6 linked regions of the Ovis aries genome follow. The protein of the gene in region 5 binds, or shares a complex with, the protein of the main gene of each other region. Links are inferred from orthologs where the notes say so. Each region holds a gene or a part of one and is shown on either strand. Other genes may lie near its edges.

What was found.
Region 1: MED13L (region 5) and MED18 share a complex: the UniProt entries of both Homo sapiens proteins name them as parts of the mediator complex. The link is inferred for Ovis aries from reciprocal best matches to the Homo sapiens genes MED13L and MED18.
Region 2: MED13L (region 5) and MED24 share a complex: the UniProt entries of both Homo sapiens proteins name them as parts of the mediator complex. The link is inferred for Ovis aries from reciprocal best matches to the Homo sapiens genes MED13L and MED24.
Region 3: MED13L (region 5) and MED16 share a complex: the UniProt entries of both Homo sapiens proteins name them as parts of the mediator complex. The link is inferred for Ovis aries from reciprocal best matches to the Homo sapiens genes MED13L and MED16.
Region 4: MED13L (region 5) and CCNC share a complex: the UniProt entries of both Homo sapiens proteins name them as parts of the mediator complex. The link is inferred for Ovis aries from reciprocal best matches to the Homo sapiens genes MED13L and CCNC.
Region 6: MED13L (region 5) and MED12 share a complex: the UniProt entries of both Homo sapiens proteins name them as parts of the mediator complex. The link is inferred for Ovis aries from reciprocal best matches to the Homo sapiens genes MED13L and MED12.

What each region holds. Positions count from the first base shown.
Region 1 is NC_056055.1:238,803,761-238,808,013, reverse strand, and holds the start of MED18 (mediator of RNA polymerase II transcription subunit 18), read left to right. Parts: upstream 1-1,453; 5' UTR 1,454-1,601; exon of another isoform or gene 1,602-1,612; intron 1,613-2,387; exon of another isoform or gene 2,388-2,452; 5' UTR 2,453-2,458; coding exon 2,459-2,531; intron 2,532-4,253. UniProt on the Homo sapiens protein: Component of the Mediator complex, a coactivator involved in the regulated transcription of nearly all RNA polymerase II-dependent genes.
Region 2 is NC_056064.1:40,087,936-40,091,435, forward strand, and holds part of MED24 (mediator of RNA polymerase II transcription subunit 24), read right to left. Parts: intron 3,479-3,500; coding exon 3,379-3,478; intron 3,070-3,378; coding exon 2,894-3,069; intron 400-2,893; coding exon 135-399; intron 1-134. UniProt on the Homo sapiens protein: Component of the Mediator complex, a coactivator involved in the regulated transcription of nearly all RNA polymerase II-dependent genes.
Region 3 is NC_056058.1:41,109,603-41,113,577, reverse strand, and holds the start of MED16 (mediator of RNA polymerase II transcription subunit 16), read left to right. Parts: upstream 1-1,175; 5' UTR 1,176-1,280; intron 1,281-2,049; 5' UTR 2,050-2,176; intron 2,177-2,529; 5' UTR 2,530-2,574; coding exon 2,575-2,707; intron 2,708-3,254; coding exon 3,255-3,362; intron 3,363-3,614; coding exon 3,615-3,784; intron 3,785-3,975. UniProt on the Homo sapiens protein: Component of the Mediator complex, a coactivator involved in the regulated transcription of nearly all RNA polymerase II-dependent genes.
Region 4 is NC_056061.1:37,531,378-37,535,396, forward strand, and holds the start of CCNC (cyclin-C), read left to right. Parts: upstream 1-1,219; 5' UTR 1,220-1,347; coding exon 1,348-1,379; intron 1,380-4,019. UniProt on the Homo sapiens protein: Component of the Mediator complex, a coactivator involved in regulated gene transcription of nearly all RNA polymerase II-dependent genes.
Region 5 is NC_056070.1:58,896,993-58,900,492, forward strand, and holds part of MED13L (mediator of RNA polymerase II transcription subunit 13-like), read left to right. Parts: coding exon 1-163; intron 164-2,796; exon of another isoform or gene 2,797-3,500. UniProt on the Homo sapiens protein: Component of the Mediator complex, a coactivator involved in the regulated transcription of nearly all RNA polymerase II-dependent genes.
Region 6 is NC_056080.1:63,829,577-63,833,604, forward strand, and holds the start of MED12 (mediator of RNA polymerase II transcription subunit 12), read left to right. Parts: upstream 1-1,228; 5' UTR 1,229-1,459; coding exon 1,460-1,558; intron 1,559-2,087; coding exon 2,088-2,192; intron 2,193-2,399; coding exon 2,400-2,591; intron 2,592-2,727; coding exon 2,728-2,884; intron 2,885-4,028. UniProt on the Homo sapiens protein: Component of the Mediator complex, a coactivator involved in the regulated transcription of nearly all RNA polymerase II-dependent genes.

The sequences.
Region 1 (4,253 bases), on a different chromosome or scaffold from region 5:
TTTCTTCTGCGGTCTTGAAGTCTGGAAAGTGCCTCTTATCCAGAACTGCCTGGAAGACCCACCACAGGACTCACTACCTTCGGAAGTGCCTGTAATCCAGCTGCAGTAAACCATCAAAAGTTCATAGGAGAGCCAGCTGGAAAAGCCGAATTCTTTTCCTTGGTTTCAGGTCTGATTAGACCCAGTTTCAGCCTTGTGACCTGTATTTAGGTTTGTGGTGTTTACAGCTCTCCAACATGTTTACTTCCAAACGCGACCATCCTTTCTTGATGGGAACAGTGGCCACCGAAGTCCAGTGTTTTATTCCATGAAACTGGTTCGGATCGGTTGAATTCGATCCAGTGAAACCAACAGACCCTCCCACCAGAGACAGATGAGATTCTGGCCTTTATTAAGCATACATGGTGAACACCTAGTCCTGGCTGTACTTGGCAACCCTCCTTCTGTTTTGATTCCCACTCCTCCCAACATGTGTGTACTTTTGACCTACTCTGAGCCGGAGTGAGTGAAGTTGCTCAGTCGTGTCCGACTCTTTGCGATCCCATAGACTGTAGCCTGCCAGGCTCCTCCGGCCATGGAATTTTCCAGGCAAAAGTACTGGAGTGGGTTGCCATTTCCTTCTCCAGGGGATCAGACGCTTTACCATCTGAGCCACCAGGGAAGCCCACTCTGAGCTCGACTCCTGATCTATTCGAGCGACCTTGTCCTGTCTACAAATGGACAGGCAATAAGATGACTTTAACCCAGAAGCAGCACCTCAGCAAGGGAAATGAAAACATCAGAAGCCAAACTGATGTAAGGTGTGGCGGCGGCGGTGGTTAGGAGACTGAGTCCCACTGAGGCGGGTTGCACGCCCCCCAGGAGGCGCAGGTGGGCCCCACCCCAGCCCCGCGGGGCCGCGCACGCCGGCCGGAGGGAGGGGCCAGATGAGGACCAAAAGTCTCCAAGCGCAGCTCTTCCTTAGGAGCGGGAGCTGTTCTGAGTGAACCTCCGGCCGTGCCCTCCTCCAGGGGATCCTCCCGACCCAGGGATCCAACCAGAGGCTTCTGTGTCTCCTGCAGGCAGATTCATTACCGCTGAGCAACTGGGAAGTTCTATCATCAGATACCCACCCAAAATAAGTTTCTGTTTTACGACAATCTCTCCTCTTTTTCTGAAGCTCTCTTCCCCAGGGTCTCTTTGTCCTTTCAGGTCCAAGAGATTTCCTGGACAAAAACACGTCCAGGTCTTCACAGTTGAAAAAAATATTTTCCTGGAAGATGGCGTATGACTGCAATGCCGCCTGAATCTCCCAAAGGACCCCTCCTAAGGAGGCCGCCATCTTCCGTGCAGCATCGGAGTTTGCGCATGCGCCCCTGCTTGCCGTACAGCGGAAGAGACTTTTTTTGTCCTCTCGGCACCCTTACGTCGCAGAGTGGCGGTGTCGAGGTTTGCGCGACGAAAGGTTTTTGTCAGACGTGGGAAGAGGCGAGAGAATTGTTGCACTGCCTAGGGGTTTTCAAGTTTAGGGCTGGGGGTGGTGATTGTTGCTCGAAAGCTCCGAGGTGCTCGGGTGAATACGGTCCCCCGCTTTCCTGGAAGAGGCTGGAACGCGCTTGGCGGTGTGTTTTTGGTATAAGTGGGCACGTTTTGATGCTGGGTTTAGGAGGCCCTAAAGCATCATTGGGGCTTCCCTAGTAAACTCAGACGGTAAAGCATCCGCCTGCAATGCAGGAGACCCGGGTTTGATCCCTGAATTGGGAAGATTCCCCCGGAGAAGGAAATGGCAACCCACTCCAGTATCCTTGCCTGGAAAGCCCCATGGATAGAGAAGCCAGGCCTAAGTCGATGGGGTCACAAAGAGTCGGACACGACTGAACGACTAACACAAAGCATCAGTGGAAAGAACTTCGTGCTTTCGCTTCAATCTCTTTAAAAGGTTTTTAGAGAGGTGGAACGCCTAGATTTTAGTCTGGTATAGGTTCTGCCACCCACCTATTGTGTGTCCTTAGGCTCCTCCCCAAGCCTCAACATCCTCATCTGTAAATTGAAGGGCATACAAGAGTCCTTAAGTCACTTTTCAGTCTTTAGTTGCAGGTCCATTATGTCATCTGAGCCACAAAGACTTGGGGGTTAATATCATGGCCTCATTTTAGAAGAAAGACATTGAGTCCCAGGGTGCACAGAAAACCATTGAAGGGTTTCAGACCTTGAGACTGAAAGATTATGCTGTAACTCCATGATCAGGCCTCCTTTGTGTATTTCTGGATCACCTGAAACTGGCCTATAGCAGTTACTAAAGTTTTGAATGGGTGGATGAATGAATTTTCATCTCCAGGCCAATGACCCAAGCAGATCTGGTCTCTCTCTGCCTCTCCCATGTATTAACAAGTATAACTCTTCCCCAGGTGTATCCTGTGTGTTACCTGACTGGGGATTCCAAATCTAGTTCTGTCGTTTTCAACTTAAACAGATAAACATGGAGGCACCTCCAGTCACCATGATGCCTGTCACCGGGGGCACCATTAACATGATGGAGTACCTGCTGCAGGGTAAGTGAACTAGGGAGCTTGAATTACCTGTTTTCCTGTTTTCTGTTCCGCTTTCCATGGAGATGAGAGGCTGTTATATAAAAGCTACCTGCATAATTTCTGGCACCCTTTTATTCCCCAATTTACTTTTAATTATGGTCACAAATACATAACATTAAGTTTACCATATTAAACATTTTTAAGCATACAGTTCAGTAATGTTAAGTATTTCACATTGTTGTATAGCTAATCTCTAGAACTTTTTCATCTTGCAGAATTGAAATTCTATTCCTGTTAAACACTAATTCCTCCTTTCCCCTTGCCGTAGGCCTTGGCAACAACCTTTCTACTTGATGTTTCTAATTTTGACAACGTTAGATAACCTCATAGGAGTGGAAGCATTCAGTATGTGTCTTTTTATGACTGGCTTATTTCACTTAGTATAATATCCTCAACATTAACCCTTTCGCATGTAAGAGAATCTCCTTTTAAAAATCTGAATAATGTTCCACTGTATGTACATACCATATTTTCTTTATTCGTTTGTCTGTCAGACATTTGGATTGCTTCTACCCAAATTGTTATCATAGATAATACTCAGTGAACATGAGTGTGCACATACCTCTTCAAGATCCTGCTTTGGATTCTTTAGGAGTGAATGCCCAGAAGTGAGATTAATAGATCATATGGTAATGTTATGATACTGTTATTAGTTCCATCTTCTAGATCAGGAAATAGAAGTGAAGTAACTTTCCCAGATGAGAAAGCTCAAGACCAGGGAGGGTTATGATTTTCTGGAGGTCATTTAATCTTTAGTGGAAGAATTTAGACTTTAATTCAGATCATCCGTTTAGTAACTTACAATGGACAAAATAAAATTGTTAATTGCACTCCTCAATCTGCCTCTACTTCAGCCTTTCCCATCTCAGTAAGTGCCGCTGTCAGTCATCAGTTGCTTAAGCCATGCATTCAGGAATCAATCTCAGAGAAAAGAAAATAGAGTCTATGGGGTTGCACAGAGTCGGGCACAACTGAAGCGACTTAGCAGCAGCAGCAGCATGGCATGCAGGATCTTAGCTCCTGAACCAGGGATGAAACCTGGGTCCCCTGCATTGGGAGCACCAAGTCCTAACCACTGGATGACCAGGGAATTCCTGTGAACAGTCAGCCTAGATTTCTAGATCTAGTCATCTAGATGTCTGTTTCTGACCTTTTGCCATATTTGCTCTATCTTTTTCCTTTTGCCGTTTTTGAAGACAGATTCAGATCTCGTAACATTTTACCCCCAAACACTTTCAGTATTCATCTCTAAAAAAGCAAGCGTATTTTCCTTAATAACCCCAATACTATCATTATTACCTGAAAGAGTCATAGTATATTTCTGATATCATCTAATATATAATTCATATTCAGAAGTTTCCTCCATCTTGTGTTTTGATCCAGGGCATAATATCATCTCATGCATTACATATGAAAACCGTGTCTCTTAAGCCTTTTTTAACTTGGACCCGCCTCCCCTCATTGCCACTTTTTTTCATGTGACCCTGTCTGGTTGAAGCATCCATACCAATTTTCCTAGAATGATCTTTTTAAAATGTAAATCCAGTCATATCTTTCCTTGTTGCATGGAGAATAAAGTGTGGAGCTAATAACTGCCCAGTGGCCGTACAATAAAATACAGCCTTTAGCATGGGCGACACATAAGTCCTGCCTGCTTTGGCCCATCCCAAATGCTCATTTCAT
Region 2 (3,500 bases), on a different chromosome or scaffold from region 5:
AACCTTCTTGAGCTGGGATTCGCCAGGCTGAGGGTTGGGGAGCCAGCCAGCCAGACCTAGCTCAGTCTCATCAGGCCTGTCTCTGGCAGTCTGAGGATGCCTGCTCCCACAGCCCACCCCCAGCACTCCCGTACCTTAATCAGGTTGTTGCAGAACCAGTAGACACCACCCATGTGCAGCAGGGTGTCGAAGATGTGGATGGAGCGGCTGTCCACCCATCCCTTCTCCAGCACCTTAGCAAATATGTCCGTCAGCACCTCCTTGATGGGCCGCTTGGGGGGCAGCAGGTTCCAGTAGGGCATGGTGTCCATGCCCGTGGAGGGAAACTTAATCTGCGTGGCGGTCTGCTGCAGCACGTCCGCACACATGTGCTCCAGGATGGAGCTCATGATCACCACCCTGGGGGGGGGCGGGGGAGGGCCAGTGGTACAGGTTCAACAGAGGGGGTGGGAGTCGGGGCGGAAACACCCAGGCCCCACTCCTCCCAGGATTAGGGTTACGGAACCAGGAACCGGGAAATCAGCCTCATTCTGTGCTGAGGGAGGGAGGGGACAAGAGGAAGTTGCAAACCCTGAGCAGATGTGACCCCACCAGCCCTGTGCCAGCACCGAGCCTACAGGGGGTTGGTGGGCACTTGCCTCTCGGGTCATTTCAGCAATATATTCATACTTTTTTTTCCTCTCTCAGTCTCTCCCTCCAACTTCCCCACCCTCCAAGCCCGGGCCTGCCAATCCTCTGGCGTCAATATTGATAAATACAATCACTTCCCTCTAGGCTGTGCTCGAGGGGGGTTCCCCACCCGGCCTTGGCTTCCTCCCAAAGTAAACTGTTACTTCCAGGACAGGGGCCCAAGGGCTGCCCCACAAGACTCTTCCCGGCCCTTGGTAGCTGGGCAAATGTAAGTACATCCAGGAATTTCCTCATGACAGGAGTCTCTGATGGTGAATGCAGGTCTGGGCCTGAGAGCTAACCGTTCAGGGAACACTGCATGGCTCTGGGAAAGTCACCACGACTTTCATAGCCACTTTTCCCACCTGCAGGATGGAGCCATAGATTTCCCAGACAGCAGTTAGGGTGCTCACAATCAATTATATCAAAGAAAATAGTCCCTGATTTGTGGGAGGAGGATGAGGAAGGAGGGGAGGAACAGAGAAGGAGGCAGGGGAAAAAGACCCTCCCGATCTCATATCAGCTGTGTTTCCATTTTTTCCCTTAAAAGACATTTTGATGGCTACCTTGCGGGTCATCACTCATAACTTAATGTTTGGTGCAAGCCCACATTCATAGCAACACTAGTCACAACAGCCAAGAAGTGCAAGAAACCCATGTGTCCATCAGCTGAGGAACAGATAAGCAAAATACAACATATACATACAATGGAATATAATCCAGCCTTTAAAAAGCAAGAAGTCCTGACACATGCAACGGTGTGGTTGAACTCTGAGGAACATTACACAAAGTGAGACATGCCCGCCACCAAAAGATGAACGTGATATGATTTCACTTATATAGTAAATTCACAGAAACAGAAGCTAGGGTGGCGGTTGCCAGGTGCTTGGGGAAGGACAGAAAGGGGTGGTGTTTAATGGGTCCAGGGGCTGGGGTAAAGACAGGAAGGGGTGTTGTTGGTCCAGGTTCAGAGCTACAAGATGGAAACATTCTAGAGATGTTTCACAACAATGTGAATATACTTAACACACTACTGAACCCTACCGCTGGACCTGGTGGTACAGTGGAGAATCCACGCACCAGTATAGGGGACACAGGTTCGATCCCTGGGCTGGGGAGATTCCACATGTCTCAGAGTAAAAAAGCCTGTGTGCCACAGCTACTGAAGCCTCCAGACTCTAGGGCCTGAGAGTCACAACTGCTGAGCCCAAGCGCCCTATACAGCCCACACGCCACAACGAGCGGCCACCACGATCGGCCACCACGATGAGAAGCCCGTGTACTGCAATGAAGAGTAGTCCCAGCTCACCACAACTAGAGAAAGCCCACGTGCAGCAACAAAGGCTCAGCAGAGTCAGAAAAAAATAAAAATGAGCTGTTATCTTAAAAATGGTTAAGGTGGTAAATTTTAGATCATGTATTTTTTTACCACAATGTTTTAAAAAAGCTTACTGGATGGGTAAACAAACCCACACCCCCTGACTCAACATAGCTGAAGTTGCTAAGGAGGTCTTCCAAGTCTCTGAAAAGTCCAGGGAAGAAAAAGTCACAGAAGAGGGGGTGGGGGCAGGGTAGGGAGGGGGTGGACAGGCCCACAGCCTGTAAACACTATAGAGGGGCTCTACAGCTCCTAGAGAGGGACAGAGCTGAGATAAGACTGTTCCCACCAGCAAGCACCTGGGACTCAAGCTCTCCGAGGGCAGGAATCCTGGCCGTTTGGGGTCTGGAGTTTGGCACACACACAGCAGATGCTGGATTATAAACACGGCCGGCAAGAAGACACATACAAGCACTGCTGAGTCAGTGAGTGAAGATGTGATTGAGAATGTGAGTGAGCAGGCAAGTGGCATGTCTGGGGAGGTATGAGAAGAGGGGTAACTTCCCTGGTGGTGCAGTGGTTAAGAACCCACCTGCCAGTACAGGGGACACGGGTTTGACCCCTAGTGTGGGAAGATTCCACGTGTCTTGAGCGACCAAGTCCGTGTGTGCCGCCACACAAGAAGCCACCGCAGTGAGAAACCCACACGCCACAACCAGAGAGTGGCGCCTGCCCGCCGCCGCTAGAGAAAGCCTGCGCACCGCAGTGAAGACCCCATTTATTCATTGTACGCTACATAAATAAATGACTGATTTTTCCAAAGAGGGAGAGAGAGGAGGAGGAAGAGTGGTTACTGGAGGGGCTGACTTCTCACCACAGACCTGCAGAGTTCAAGAAGGGACCGACCTCTCGTTGTAGAACTGCAGCGTGTTCTCGCTGTACAGCGGCCCTGCCAGCTGGCGGATCATCTGCAGCGACTTCTCTCGCTCGTCCAGTCCCAGCATCCGCACGTGCGCCACGAGCCAGGCCACAGCGCACACTGCCAGGCTGCACACCTTCCCCTTGATATTATCTGTGATTTTCTGGGCGAGGGAAAAAGAGTGACTGGGGCCTCTCGCGCCCTCCCTGGCCATCACTTTCCCCGGCCTCCGTGAGCAACTCAGCAGAGCAGTGGGGTCTGGGGCCACGTCCAAGCCTCTTTTCACCACAAGTCTGATTTCCCCAAAGTCACCTGGTGAGAGAGGGTAGCTTAGACTATGACTACAGGGGAGGCCAATGCCCACACACGGGCTTCTGGAGGAAGGGTCGTTTTGTTTTTATGAAATGTAGCAAACTATCAAAGACTGGCTGTGCCTTAGGGAAGAGGGAAGGCTGCGGAAAAGAGGAGCTACCTGGATGGACTCGAAGGCTAGCACCCCATTCTCCCAGGCGTTGAGGATTTCCAGGATGGCCGCTGAAATGTTGAGACAGGCTTCGTGCCACTTCATCTGCCTACATGGGGATGGGGGTGGGA
Region 3 (3,975 bases), on a different chromosome or scaffold from region 5:
TTTCCAGTATAGATGTGAGAGTTGGACCATAAAGAAAGCTGTGCCCCGAAGAATTGATGCTTTTGAACTGTGGTGTTGAAGAAGACCCTTGAGAGTCCCTTGGACTGCATGGAGATCAAACCAGTCAATCCTAAAGGAAATCAGTCCTGAATATTCATTGGAAGGACTGATGCTGAAGCTGAAACTCCAATGCTTTGGCCACCTGATGTGAAGAACTGACTCATTGGAAAGGACCCTGATTCTCGGAAAGATTGAAGGCAGGAGAAGTGGACAACAGAAGATGAGATGGTTGGATAGTATCATCGAGTCGATGAACATGAGTTTGAGTAAGCTCAGGGAGTTGGTGATGGACAGGGAAGCGTGGCATGTTGCAGTCCATGGGGTCGCAGAGAGTCGGACACAACTGAGCGACTGAACTGAACTGAGAGGACCGGCTGGGGCTCAGGGCACGGGTGGGGGGCCCAGGGCAAGCCCACAGGCTGCCTCCAGACCCACGCGGACTCCGTCCTGTCCAGCTTCCTGGTTGGCTGTGTAGATTCTCCACACACCGCGTCCCTAGACAGCCCGGCCCCCAGACCTTTGCCCAGATGTTGCCTGCTCTCTGTCATACCCTTCCCTGCAATCAATCCTATGTCTTTCTGGAAAAGACCTTCCAGACTGGGGAGAGTCCGACAGCTTTTGGAGGAGGAATTGAGGATGGAGACTGATTCTACCGGCCCTTGATGGGTTGAGTTACCTGGCTTATAAGCGAGTTACACGTTGGCTAGACATCGTGATAAAAAGCGAAAATATGGAACGCTTCACGAATTTGCGTGTCATCCTTGCGCAGGGGCCATGCTAATCTTCTCTGTATCGTTCCAATTTTAGTATATGTGCCGCCGAAGCGAGCACAAACCACGAACAGACGCCAGAACTATTTATAGTAGACAGAACCAAATACTTTACGCTGAGGGCGAATTCTATCAAAAACCAATACAGCAATTTTCCTTTTTTTTTACTAACTTAGTGCAATAATGGCCTAATCTAAGGGGATTATTCACTTAAATTGAGAAAGTTTGTTTTTTCCATCAAATATAACGCAGATGGCTGTTGGAAAGGCACGATTGTATGCAAATTACCCCGGAAGCGGGGCGGAGCCACTGAGGTCCCAGAAGTCTCCGGGAAGCAGCCGGGCTGCGCGGGAGACTCGTTGGTCCTGGGAAGATGGCGGCGCCGGAGCCGGGGCGTTAGAGCGAATGCAGACGGCAGCCTCCTTCTCGGTGGGCGTACAGGCTGGTCCAGTGAGTGTGGGGCTGGGGGCTTGGGCAGTCGGCCAGCCTCCGGATGGCGCCGACGCTGCTGGGATTATGGGTCGGAGCAGGGCCTGTGGAGTCAGAGGGCGGTCCTGGAGAGCAGAGGGTGCTGGGTACGCTCCCTGAGGGCTCTGGGCGTGGTCTGGGGGGTCGTGGCGGAAATTTGGGGTGACCTGAGGCTCCCTGCGTTGGGCGGTGTAAAACCGGGGAGGGCCTAAGGTTGTACCTCCCCGGGGAGGGCCTGGGATGCATTTGAGGCGGGGCTTAGGGACTGTCGGGTGGGTTGGGGCGGGTCCTGGGTGGCCAGGTGGCCAGGTGTGTGGAGGAGGGGCTTTGGGATTGTTTTGGCGACTTTGGAATAAAAACAGAAGTTTAGGCCGGGCCTGGGGACGCCAGGGACAAATTGAGAGTGAGGTCTGGAAGGCACATTTTGTAGGGGCGGGGCCGGAGGGCTTTGGGGGCAGAGCTTAAAATGACTGTTGGTTGGGCTTGTGGGCGGGGTGTCAGTGTTCTGGGGCGGGGCTTTAAGAAGCAGCGGGTAATGTGATTGGGAAGGTGAAAGGAAATAACCTTAGTCGCGGCTGGGTGCAAAGAGCCTGCTGAGCAAGCTTTCACTGACCCTTTCTGTACCCCTGGAAGCCAGGCCCCAAGTTGCTGCCTAACCCCCACCCTGCCTCCCTACCTCTGTCTAAGGCAGCCTCACTGGTTCTCCTGTGTCCTCCTTAAGAATAGACCTGGGTGCTACCTCTTGTCGCAGCTTTCACTGTCCCCGTCACTGTACACCTGGACCAGCGCCACCATCCATTCCCCAGCCGTGCCCTTCAGACAGCCAGAGGGGCCTGTGAAACAGAAACAGGCTTCTTGGGGCTCCCATCTTCCTCCTGGTAAAACCCCCAGGCCCTGCAAGACCTGCCTCATCCCCTCCCCAACCTTACCTTGCTTCTCGCCCCCACTCACTCTGTTCCTGCTCTGCAGGCCTGGATACTGCTTGAGCATCCCAGGCTCAGTCAAGCCTCTGGGCCTTTGCACTGGCTGTTCTCTCCTCTTGGCATGCTCTTCCTCCCAGCTGCATGGATTGATCCCTGGCCATGCTTGTGTAAAACGCAGTTCCCTGGCCACACACAGGGCAGGGGTTGAGTCCACTTTGTCCCCCGTGGTAACCAGCATCCACCACCGCACTCGGGGCCCTGCAGGCACCCTGTGAAGATGGATGACAAGCCTGTCTTCCCTCCTGTAGGAGCTGGTGACCGTCCTCCCTGTGTGACCTTGGCAATTGGGCACCATGGACCTGGCTTACATCTGTGAGTGGGAGAAATGGCCCAAGAGCACCCACTGCCCATCCGGTCCCCTTGCCTGCACCTGGTCCTGCCGCAACCTCATCGCCTTCACCACGGACCTGCGCAGCGATGACCAGGGTGTGCCACCCCCATCCCAGGCCCCCTCATAGGGCCCTCCCCCCAGCTCCCATGGGGTTTCCTCCTCTGAGACAGGGGTGCTGAGGGGCACAGAGATAACCTTGAGGAATGGCCGTGTCTGCAGGGCTGGGGGAGAGGGGGTGGTGGCCACTTATGGCTTGCTGAAGCTCCTGCAGGAGTTTTCCAGCTGCACGTGTTGCCACCAGCTTTGCGGTGCACTCTGCCGCAGGGCAGATATTCTTCCCACCACAGAGCAATATGCACTTCTTAGAGGAAATTAGGAAAACGTGAAACTTTAGGATGAGGAGAACCCTAACCTTTCATGGAGAGACACCCGCTGTTAGTGTTTTGGGTCCATTTTTGAAAGCACAGTTGTAACCTCACAGAAGGCCATGGGTCTCCCCTTGGGCTGCCTGTGTATAAATCATGTTTCTGGAGTCCCTGCAGCCTGGCTTTAACGCTTCCTGATAGGCTTTGACAGCCCAATCCCCTGGGGTGGTCGGGCACCAGGCCGTGGTTGCCACACTGACCTCACTGTCCCTCGCAGACCTGACCCGCATGATCCACATCCTGGACACTGAGCATCCCTGGGACGTGCACTCCATCCGCTCAGAGCACAGCGAGGCCATCACCTGCCTGGAGTGGGACCAGTCTGGTGAGGGCAGCCTTCCACCCTGAATGCCAGGGCTGCCTGCTCTGTCTTCCTGGCCTTAGCCCTAGGCTCAGAGCTGGGACTTGAAACCCTGACCTGTGCCTTTGAGGCTTCTGCTCTTCTCGCCCCTGTTTCTGAACTCACCTGTGCTGGTCCCTTGCTCTACGACTTCTACATTCCGGCCCCCCCACCCTGATGGACGGCGGGGATGGGGCTTGTGATGCAGATTTGCCCAATCTCCCACCTTCCCCTCAGGCTCTCGTCTGCTGTCAGCTGATGCTGATGGGCAGATCAAGTGCTGGAGCATGGCTGACCACCTGGCCAACAGCTGGGAGAGCCCCGTGGGCAGCGTGGTGGAAGGGGACCCCATCGTGGCCTTGTCCTGGCTGCACAACGGTGTAAAACTGGCCCTGCATGTGGAAAAGGTGGGTGTCCTGCCTGGGGGAGCAGGCCTCAAGCCCAGGGAGGGCTTGGCTCCTCCTCTCATGGTGCCAGGTTGTCACACCTGCCACCCAGTTGTCAGCATCTGTGTTGCTAGCATCTCCCACGTGGTTTGACGTGGTGACAGCCCTTGGTTCCTGTCTGTACCCCACGGTTCAGCCCAGTGTCTCCCTGA
Region 4 (4,019 bases), on a different chromosome or scaffold from region 5:
GAAGCATAAGCTGGAATCAAGATTGCCAGGAGAAATATCAATAACCTCAGATATACAGATGACATCACCCTTATGGCAGAAAGTGAAGAGGAACTAAAAAGCCTCTTGATGAAAGTGAAAGAGAAGAGCGAAAAAGTTGGCTTAAAGCTCAACATTCAGAAAACGAAGATCATGGCATCTGGTCCCATCACTTCATGGGAAATAGATGGGGAAACAGTGGAAACTAGTTTTTGGTTCAAGCCAATTCAATTAAACCTACATTTATGGGGTCCCTCAAAGATGATTTACCTTTGAACTAATGAAGCCTAAGCTGATGCTCCTGACTTGCAGGGCCACTGAGAAAACTGAGGGATGCTGGGCATTTAGACGCTGGAGTTCTGGGTAGGAAGCAGAAACCAGGTTGTACACAGGAAGTATTTCTATGTGGCATTCTGGTAAACTGCCTGAAAGTTCACAGAAGGAAGGGACCTGAATCTCCTAGCTTCTAGTAATTTGTCGTAATCTCTTTTTGCATTGTTTCGCAGTCACTTCAATCCAAAAGAACTCCATTAAGAACCTATTCGGCTTGTTAGGTTTTGAGGCCAAGTGAAAGTGTCAAAGTCGCTCAGTCGTGTCCGACTGTTTGCGATCCCATGGATTATACAGTCCATAGAATTCTCCAGGCCAGAATACTGGAGTGGGTAGCCTTTCCCTTCTCCAGGGGATCTTCCAAACACAGGGATCGAACCCAGGTCTCCCGCATTGCGGCTGGATCCGTTACCAGCTGAGCCACAAGGGAAGCCCTTTGAAGCCAAAATTAACTTTATTTCTCTTTCCAAACACAGGAGAAAGAACAGAAGTCAGGAAGTCGTATAGTTTAATACAAAGCCACTGTGCTGCTTTGGAAGCCTGTAAGATGGGAGTAAAGTTAACCCGAACAAGGGACGGTTTCCCCATCCCACCCCTTCTCCGTGAATCCTAGCTCCCACAGACGCACGAGCCGCGCGGGCTCTAGGCCGGAAATGACGAAAACCTCTCGCGATACTCTCCCAACTGCCGCGAGACTTCGTGAGAGTCAGTTCCCGACTCCTTTTTCAGTGTGCGCAAGGGCTATCTCCTCCCCGCCTCTTTCCTCCGCTACCGCGGGGCGGGCCGGAACTTCCATGCGTAGGAACTGGTTTGTACAGCAGAGTGTTGCCGGCCGGCGTCAAGAAGAATAGGGTGCTATCTTCCTCTCACCGTCGCCGCCGCGGAGCGGAGCCGAGTCCATCAGATCAAGGAGCGCGGTGACCGGGAGGGTTGGGTCTATGGTCGCTCCGCGCTCCGCTCCGCCGGCTGGTGCTTTTTTATCAGGCCAAGCTGTGTTCCATGGCAGGGAACTTTTGGCAGAGCTCCCACTAGTAAGTGATCTTCCGTTTTCTCCGGGCCTGGCTCTTGGAGGTGCTGGGTGTACGGGGCCTGCGACTCCTTTTGGCCTGGATCTCGGCCCCTGTCCGGAGCGCCGCGGAGGCTCCAGGGAGGCGGCGGCCGGAGGCGGGATGTGCTTTTTCTTCGGCGACTCTCCTCACCGCGCCCCGTTGGCCGGGTTTTGGAGTGGTAGAGAATTTCTTGGCGGGGGAGGGTAAGAGGGATTGCGTCTCCGGAGGAGGAAGGTTCGAGAGTTTTAGCTTCTGATTTTTGGTTTAGCTAGGCCGAGGTTGGGGGCAGGGGAGAGGCGGGGCTGGCGAGGGTTGGGATATGGGATGGACACAGGTATGGGAAGTGTGACAGTTCAGAACTGTGAGGCTGGCTTCTCAGGACAGTTGTGGTTCGATCTCGCCTGATATTTGTAAAGTAGGTTGGCATCAGTAATCGTTTATCATTCTTCTGTGTTGAGTGGATTGTTACTCCAAGGAAAGGAGGGAGTCAGGCTTGTTTCTGCTCATGAACCGCATTCTGCCACTGTCTTTAAGCCTATATGGTTTTTATGTTTGTAAGTTATAGATCAATTGCTCTCAACATTTGTCCATTTCGTTAGTCTGTGTCTCATGTTTTGTTTTAAAAGTGTATTTTCTAGAGACTTTACCAATATCTTTAACGTGTTTTCCAGAATAAGTTTTTGTTGACGTCTGTACCGTGGAAGAACTAGAGTAATATTGAAAGCATTTCTCCCTAAATACATTTGTGTAAGCAGATAGGACGATGGTGATGGGACTAATTGAACTTTGGGTAGGCTGTACAGTGTATAGTTGAAAGACACAGAACTTGATGATACCTTAGTGTAAATACTTTTTCATGCGAAGAGAGCATAAGTAAATTTTGAGTGTGAGGATGGATTCCTATATTATTCAATTGGTATTTTAGCCGTTTGCACTAGAAAAAACGAAACAATGGGCTTTAAAACCTATTTTCAGAAAAGCAGGTTTTCTTGCTGTAAGTGGTTCTGTGGAGATGAATGGCTATAGAAGCTTTACTTCCGATCATATTTAATTTGCACTGTATTCACTGACTGAAATATTTGCTTGGGCAAAATTAAAATATGGAAAATTTCTGTAGTGAAGTAGTAGTATTCTGGTTAACTTTGAAAGAAGCTGAAAAAATTGACAGGGAGCCAGTTGTTGATTATCAGAAGTTACAGGCCTTTTTCAACTTAAAAAAAAGAAGTTTGACCCTTTGATAAGTCTTCTCATTATGCTTTCATTTACTGTTGGCTTATTAAAAAGGGGCCAGGATGTATTTTATAAAATCAATTATTTTTTCACTTTTCAAATATAAAATTAAATGTGCTGTTTTTAAAACTGTCCTTGCCTTCCTAATCAAATAGTCCTGGAGGAAGGGGCCACTTTATCTTACTCAGATCCCTTGGGAATCATGGAGTCCCTGATCTGCAAAAGGTAACAAATATGAAAGACAAGACAAGCAATTCAGGAAAAACAAAAAGATGATGAAAGCCATTGTTTTAGGTGATTTTGGTGAAAGAGGAAGATTGATATGATTTTTCATGGCTTAAAATCGCCCTTTAACATTAACTGCTGCTAGCAGCAGTTAAAAAATGGATAACATTGCTGTTATCAGCATGGCAGTTTTTGTTTCCTTCAGTAACATAGGAAATAATGGTGAATCTTACAATCATGTGTAATTTTAAATTTGAGAATATGTGGCGTTAACTGGTTTGTCTTCCATGCTGTGTGCTGTGAAGAAAAACAGTTGTTTGTGGAATTTATCTTTTTAAATATTTGAAATAACTGTGGAGAAGAAATGGATGATTTTGAAACAGAGACACTGGTAGTATTTTTCAGGAAGTTAAGTAGAACACAATACATTCTTTGACCATGATGCAGTAAAACTAGAAGGACACTAGACATTTGCTGGTTGACTGAAATAATGAACAGGTGACAAAAACTAAAACTACAAAACCAACTCTGGATGCTTTACTGTAGCAAAGAGAGCATTTAAAATACACTTACATATTATCTAGGAAATAGTATAATGAGATTAATATGTATTCATATCTTTGGGATGTGGCCAAAGCCAAATTTATAAGAAAGTTAACATCTTGAATAACTGAAAAAGAATAAAAATTATATATTTTACTTCAGAATATTAAAAAGGAAACAGTGAAATAAACCTAAGAAAAACAGGCATAATAAAGGTAACACTGATACTGAAAAGGAAAAAAACCGTCAAATTATAAGAGCTGCCTCTTTGGAAGGGAAAACCAAAACAGTAGACTAAACTATGCTACTGAATATAGGGGAAAAGGAATGGTCAGTTCAGTCCCTCAGTCGTGTCTGACTCTTTGTGACCCCATGGACTGTAGCGCTGCTAGGGTTCTCTGTCCATAACCAACTCCTGGAGCTTGCTCAAACTCATGTCCATCCAGTCGGTGATGTAGGAATACAAAATTAGGTAGGAGAAAAGTAAGTAATCACAGATGTACCTTTGGGTTATCTTCATTTTCAAAGTAAATTTTAAAGCCAGAACAAAGTTATCAGAGAGCTACTTCTTTAAAAATTGCTCCAGGCCCACATTATTTCATAGGTAAATTTTTACCCACTTTC
Region 5 (3,500 bases):
TGGGATCCTCCATGTTTGCTCCACTGAAGATGTTGCCGAGCCAGTGCCTGCTACCTCTGAAGATTCCTGATGCCTGTCTGTTCCGGCCTTCGTGGGCAATCCCTCCTAAAATTGAGCAGCTGCCCATGCCGCCTGCAGCCACTTTCATTAGAGATGGCTACAAGTATGTGCTGGGATCGTGTCAAGTCACCTGCTGTATTTAATGGGATTTGTATCATTTAACCTAAGTATTTACTTTACATGATGACAGCATTTCATTTGAAACTTCATCGGCCATTCGTGTTTTTGTGCATATTCTTTTGTGTTGAAAATATTATTTTCTAAATTTCATATATATGGGAACATTGAGGTTATTTGTGTGGAGAACCATGGTGTTTATGGTCATTCAGTGTCAAATTAGTGTCTGTCACAGAACCAAGCAGTAGATTGGAGTAGGTAATATTTTTAGGGTGATGGTGGTAAGTACTTCATTATATGTACTTTGATGATTTCAGATGTGTTTACTTAAGGCACTTTAAGGTTAAGTATTCATATGCTAATTTCTGTTGCTGACCCCATGTCATACAAGAAAGCAGCAATAGAACGGTGCTGTGATATGGAGGAGGGAAAAGGAAGTATTTGTCATAGCTTGTACGTAGTTTGTACTGTCCCCAAATAATTCTGACTTCAGCAGTGCAGAATTAGTTTTCCCTTTGATTGATAATTTCTTAATGACATAATGTAAATGCTTTAAAGTAAAAGGCCACAAACGCAAATGTCAGGACCAAGTAAGCAATATGTGAATGGAGTGGACAGGGTCGAGCAAAATACTAGCCGCCATTGACACTCAGTGTCGCTGTAGGGGTGTGGGGAGAGCGGGGCCAACAGCAAACTGTTCGAGAGTGTGTGTTGTCCCCTTTAAAGGGACTTTTTTTTTTTTGCTTTTTTTTTTTTGGCAGTTCAACCTTAGGGAGTTGTTCAGGCAGGAATGTGAGAGATTTTAATGTACATTTCCTTTTTAAAATGTTGATAGTTGGGAATTCCCTGGCAGTCCAGTGGTTAGGAATTGGCACTTTCACTGTGAATGGCCTGGGTTCAATCCTTGGTCAGGGAACTAAAATCCTGCAAGACGTGTAGCGCGCCCCGCCCCTCCCCCCCCCTCCCCCCCCCACACACACACAGAAAAAATTGTTGACAGTTAATTCAGAGTTACATTCTAAAAGCTAAGACAAATTTATGCTGTAGGTCCAGTTTGTGGGCTACTTTTGTGACCTTGTATAGAAATCATCTTAATGAAATCAACTTTAATTTTATAAGCAGGCTTTATGATTATGTTTGTGTAAAGTCTGTATTGGAATGAAAAACTGTGACAGTGAAGTACTTTAAAAGAACCTTAGACTTGGAGAAGTACATGGAGTCATAGGACTCGAATTCCTGCCTTTTTTGTTTAGTCTCTGTATGACCTTAAGGGATCCTTTTACCTAGGTCTTCTCCTCTTTAACATGGAGTTTCAGGCACAAGATTTTTGAAACGCTCTGAGAACTAATGGTTGTGGAAGCAACATGCCACCAACAGGATGAAAGTGTGTGCCCAGAAGCACTCTGTAGGGCAGGGCCTGGCTTATTCTCTGCTGCCGTTCTCCAGTCGTGTCCCAGCTTGTTTTGTCTCAAACTGGCCCGCACAGCTGGAGCAACTAGCACGCCAGGGGTTAGCATGCTGATCACAAGCAGTGCAGCCACTTCAGGAGCCATTCCACAGCCTAGCCTCTTACACAAGCTCCTCAAAACAGTAACACACACCCCTTTGCTGCAAGATAGTTTCTGTAACTAGATAATTAGATCATTGTTTAGATCGAAATCTGTTGTCTGCCACCCCAGAGATTCTTGGTGTTCTAAACTGGCACTGTTAACTCTCTGGGATGAAATAAGTGTACTGCGCCTTTAAGTTCAGCACGTGGGGCTGGTGGTTCCCTTACTTCCTGGACTGCACAGTTGTGGCCTGTGGGAAGTCCTCCTGCTGTGGTCTGCATCACTCTGTGTGTGTGTGTGTGTGTCACTGTGTGTGTGTGTGTATTAGTTGCTCAGTTGTGTCTGACTCTCTGCGACCCCATGAACTGTAGCCCGCCAGGCTTCTCTGTCCATGGACTTCTCCAAGCAAGAATAGTGGAGTGGGTTGCCATTCCCTTCTCCAGAGGAACTTCCCAACCCAGGGATTGAACCCTGGTCTCCTGCATCGCAGGCAGATTCTTTACTGTTTGAGCTGCAGGGAAGTCCTCCCGCTTTATTACAGAACACACCAGCAGTCTCTTGATGCCGCTCATACTTGCCATGCACTGACTTTCCTTCCTCTTTTTTTTTCCCACTGTTGCATACCCAGCAACTAGGATGGGGTTGGTTGGTCCTCAGTTCATTTTCCTTGAATGGGAAAAGTCAGGTTCCTATACACAATAAACCATTTTACTGCCTTGGGAGCAATTTAATTATTTAGGTTTTCAGTTAATCATTGTAGTTCCTTTTCTGATCTGAACTGCATAATCATTTTAGAGTTTTGTTGAACAGGAAAATTTGAAAGGAGTCCAATTAGAGTAAAGATCATTATTACACACTTACTATTTTGCTCTCTGAGATAGCAGTGATTGCTGATCAGGGTTTCTGGGTCACGCGTTATCTGTACTCAAAGACACCGCTGTGCCTCAGATTGAACATTTCTTTGCAGAGCCTGATTTGGATTTTCAGGTTGGTAGGTTAGGCATAGGTAATTAAAAATCAGAAGAAAATGATTCAAAGAGCCATTACTTTATGACATTCTTCTTTCAAATTATAAGTGAATGAATATGTACTTTATTGGAGGAACATTAGTTTAAGTACAGTATTAACAGAAGAATTTTAAGCATTTAAAAAAATCTTATTTCTTTTGATACCTTCTAATTGGAAAGAGTGATCCCAATCTGTTTTATGGGTACCTCTAAGAATGTATATCAAGAACATTTTATTACAATAAGAACTTTTATTACAAAATCGTGGGCACTGTTTTGTTGTCTTTGTGGCTGTTCCAGACAGAAGTCACTGCTTATGAGAAAACAGCACAGTGTGATTGTCTCTGGGGATTCAAACTCATGCTGTTTTGCATGGCATATGGAAAATAGGAGATGAACTGCAGTTGCCCACCACAGAAACCTGTTAGCAGTTTGGACACTTTGATGTAGCATGTATGCTTACATGCAAAGACCGAATTAATACTAAGTCCTCTTGGCAGCATGTGTAACATTTGTATTCACTGTAATATATGACTGGCCAATGGGTTCCTCAGATAGAATTCCCTCATGGTCACTCATTACGATAAAAATGCTAGCTAGATAGGACTGCATTTTTTGGAAACTAGAAAAATGTTAAATTTTCATGTGCGTTTGATTATAACTGCTGTAGAATCATATGTAGATTATAGCCTCAGAGAACAAGTACACTGGCAGACTTTCAGTCTCAAAAAAGGACAAAATTGTAATTGCAAATTAGATGGGAATT
Region 6 (4,028 bases), on a different chromosome or scaffold from region 5:
GTCTTTTCAAATGAGTCAGTTCTTCCCATCAGGTGGCCAAAGTATTGGAGTTTCAGCTTCACCATCAGTCCTTCCGATGAACACCCAGGACTGATCTCCTTTAGGATGGACTGGTTGGATCTCCTTGCAGTCCAAGGGACTCTCAAGAATCTTCTCCAACACCATAGTTCAAAAGCATCAGTTCTTCAGGGCTCAGCTTTCTTTATAGTCCAACTCTCACATCCATACATGACTACTGGAAAAATCATAGCCTTGACTAGACCCTTGTTGACAAAGTAATGTCTCTGCTTTTTAATATGCTGTCTAGGTTGGTCATAACTTTCCTTCCAAGGAGTAAGCGTCTCTTAATTTCATAGCTGCAATCACCATCTGCAGTGATTTTGGAGCCCCCCAAAATAGTCAGCCGCTGCTTCCACTGTTTCTCCATCTATTTGCCATGAAGTGATGGGACCAGATGCCATGATCTTCGTTTTCTGAATGTTGAGCTTTAAGCCAACTTTTTCACTCTTCTCTTTCACTTTCATCAAGAAGCTCTTTAGTTCTTCACTTTCTGCCATAAGGGTGGTGTCATCTGCATTATCTGAAGTTACTGGTATTTCTCCCGGCAATCTTGACTCCAGCTTGTGCTTCTTCCAGCCCAGCGTTTCTCATGATGTACTCTGCATATAAGTTAAATAAGCAGGGTGACAATATACAGCCTTGACATACTCCTTTTCTTAGAAAGTATCTATTTTGTATATCTCTATGCACATTTTTTTTTCTGGGAAGAAGGGCCTTAGCTTCCATCAGCATATTAAAGGGATTGTGAAACACAAGCGGTTAAGAACCTCAGTGATGTACCATAAAGACCTTGAGGGATTAGAGCCGACCTTTCAGGATTTAACACGTGCTTTCTCATGCATATGTAGTTTCTAATCTTCGCAACAGTCCCTTAAAGGAGGTGTTAGTAGTATACCTATTTTTCAGATGCAAAAACGAAGAAGCGGTTGAAAAAGGCAAGAGTTCCTACAGACGATCTAGCCCTTATTCGAGGCCGAGAACTGAGAGAGGCTCAGAGAACCCAGTTCCAGTAGGAGCTCATCGCCTCGGCCGCCTCCCACCTCGCAGGTTCGTATCCCCAGCGCAGCACACGACTGGCGGTCGCTGCAGGAATCTTGACTGAGTGAAATCCACCTCCCGTGGCGGGCGCCGAAAAGCTCCGGGGGCGCGGAGCTCCGCCCCACGCCGGGCTGGGCCCGCCCCTGCCGCGGTCGGTATTGTCAGACGGTTCCCGGCGTCCCTCGGTTTCCCTCGGTAGTTTCCGGCAAAGATCGGGAGTTTCTAACGTGCCCCTTGTAGTCTCTCGGCTGCCGTCCTCGCCACCGCCGCCCCTCTTTTCGGCTCCCTCTCCCCTACCCACCCCCCCCCCCCCCCCCGCGATCGGCCCGGCTGGCGCCTCTGTCGTTACGGGCTGAGCAAGATGGCGGCCTTCGGGATCTTGAGCTACGAACACCGGCCCCTGAAGCGGCCGCGGCTGGGGCCTCCTGATGTGTACCCTCAAGATCCCAAACAGAAGGAGGTGAGTTCAGAAATTCGGGCTCCCAGGGGGCCAGGGGCCAGCGATCGGCAGAGGAGGAAGCACTGATGGCTGGGGGAAGCGGGGGCGGGGCGGCTCTGTGGGAGTGCAAGTCCCGAAAGGGGGAAGAGTAAAGTGGACTGGTATCGGAGAGTAAGACCTGGGGGAGGTGGGGGCTGGTTTCTGGGCTAGAACCGGGAGTGATGTTGGGGCCACGCTGGAGGCGCCCCCTCTACACACACACACACCTCAGAAAGTTGTCTGAGGCGGCTGGATGAACTAAGGCTGCTTGTAAACTCGCAGGGGAAGAGTGCTGTTGAGGGAGCTCTGGGGATTGGGAATCTTATTACTGTGGGGGTGAGGGGGTCCAAATTAATATAAGAGATTATTTTAAAATAATAATGTGCTATCTACTCCCCAATCATTTTCCTATTTTTTTCCACCCTTGTTCCCTTCTCTTCTGCCCTCTTCCACCACCACCACCATCTCCCCCAAGGAAGGAAAAAGCTAAAATGTTGTTTTCCTGCCTCAGGATGAATTAACGGCCTTGAATGTAAAACAAGGTTTCAATAACCAGCCCGCTGTCTCTGGGGATGAACATGGCACTGCCAAGAATGTCAACTTTAATCCTGCCAAGGTGAGACAACCCCATCAGGCTGAAGGAAAAGGCTGGAAGAATCTGAGAGGGAGCAAAGACCCTGGGCTGGGAAGACGTAAAGGGATGACCTAACTGGCGGTGTTTTCCTTTGTAACCTAATGCTACCACACTGGCATTTGCCCATCAAAGGCACAGCCACCTTTCTGCTCTGTCTTCCCACCCTGAGGTGTAGCTTTCTTCCCTCAGATCAGTTCCAACTTCAGCAGCATCATTGCAGAGAAGTTACGTTGTAACACCCTCCCTGACATTGGTAGAAGGAAGCCCCAAGTGAACCAGAAGGACAACTTCTGGCTGGTGACTGCACGATCCCAGAGTGCCATTAATACTTGGTTTACTGATCTGGCTGGCACCAAGCCACTCACACAACTAGCCAAAAAGGTGAGGTACTGTTTCCTGTTCTTTAGACCAAAGGGGGGAACGTGAGTACCAAGTACCCTCTGATTTTCAGATTGAAGTACACGGGTGTCAGCTCACTGGGGTGAGAGAGGTCTCACTGTTTGCAATGTCCATTCAGGTCCCCATTTTCAGTAAGAAGGAAGAAGTGTTTGGGTATTTAGCCAAATACACAGTGCCTGTGATGCGGGCTGCCTGGCTCATTAAGATGACCTGTGCCTACTATGCAGCAATCTCAGAGACCAAGGTTAAGAAGAGACATATTGACCCCTTCACAGGTGAGTAACTCCTAATACCAGAGGACGTACCACTGATCACTTCAAAGAGTGGTGGAGAAACCTTGAAATTACTCTCCTTCCTCATCTATATTCCTTGCTTCTGCTTGTATCTTGCATTCACTCAGTTAGTAAACATCAAGTGTCTTGAGTATCTACTGTATGTGTGCTGCTGCTGCTGCTAAGTGGCTTCAGTTGTGTCCGACTCTGTGCGACCCCATAGACGGTAGCCCACCAGGCTCCGCCATCCCTGGGATTCTCCAGGCAAGAACACTGGAGTGGGTACTGGGCTATAAAGATAATCACTACCTAGTCCCTGCTCTTAGGATGCTTATAGTCTAGTAGGGATGCTAAGGCCACTGTACAAATCCCATAATTAAATATAGAAACATAGTGTCAAAAGTGGAGGCAGGGGCTTCCTTGGTGGCTCAGTGGTAAAGAATCCACCTGCCAGTGCAGGAGACATGGGTTTGATCCCTGATCTGGAAAGATCCCACATGCCTCAGAGCAGCTAAGTCTGTGAGCCACAACTATTGAGCCTGGGCTCTGGAGCCCATGTGCCCCAACTACTGAAGCCTACACACCCTAGAGCCCGTGCTCTACAAGAGAAGCCACTGCAGTGAGAAGCCTGTACTCCACAACTAGAGACTAGCCCCACTTACCACAACTAGAGAGCTTGCGTGCAGCAATGAAGACCCAGAGCAGCCAAAAATAAATAAATAATATTATGTAATATAAAAAAGTGGAGGCAGAAGTTTCTTTGAGACTTCAGTGAACAGAAAGGTTATTTTCTTTTGGGGATACCTGGAAAGGCTTTAGGAAGGTGACATTTGTTTTTGTTTTGTTTTGTTTTGTTTTATTTTGTTGAAGTATAGTTGATTTATACTGTTGTGTTAGTTTCTCGTGTACACCAAAGTGATTCAGTTATACATATGTGTGTTTATCTATATTCTTTTTTGCATTCTTTTCCGTTATAGCTTATTATAGAATATCGAATGTAGTTCCCTGTGCTATGCAGTAGGACCTTGTTGTTGAAGGTGGCATTTGACTAGAGCCTATATGGGGATGAATAGGATTTAGAAACATGGTGACTGGGAGTGGGGGTGGGGGACAGAAGGTGTTCTAAGCAGAGGGACACTGTAAAATA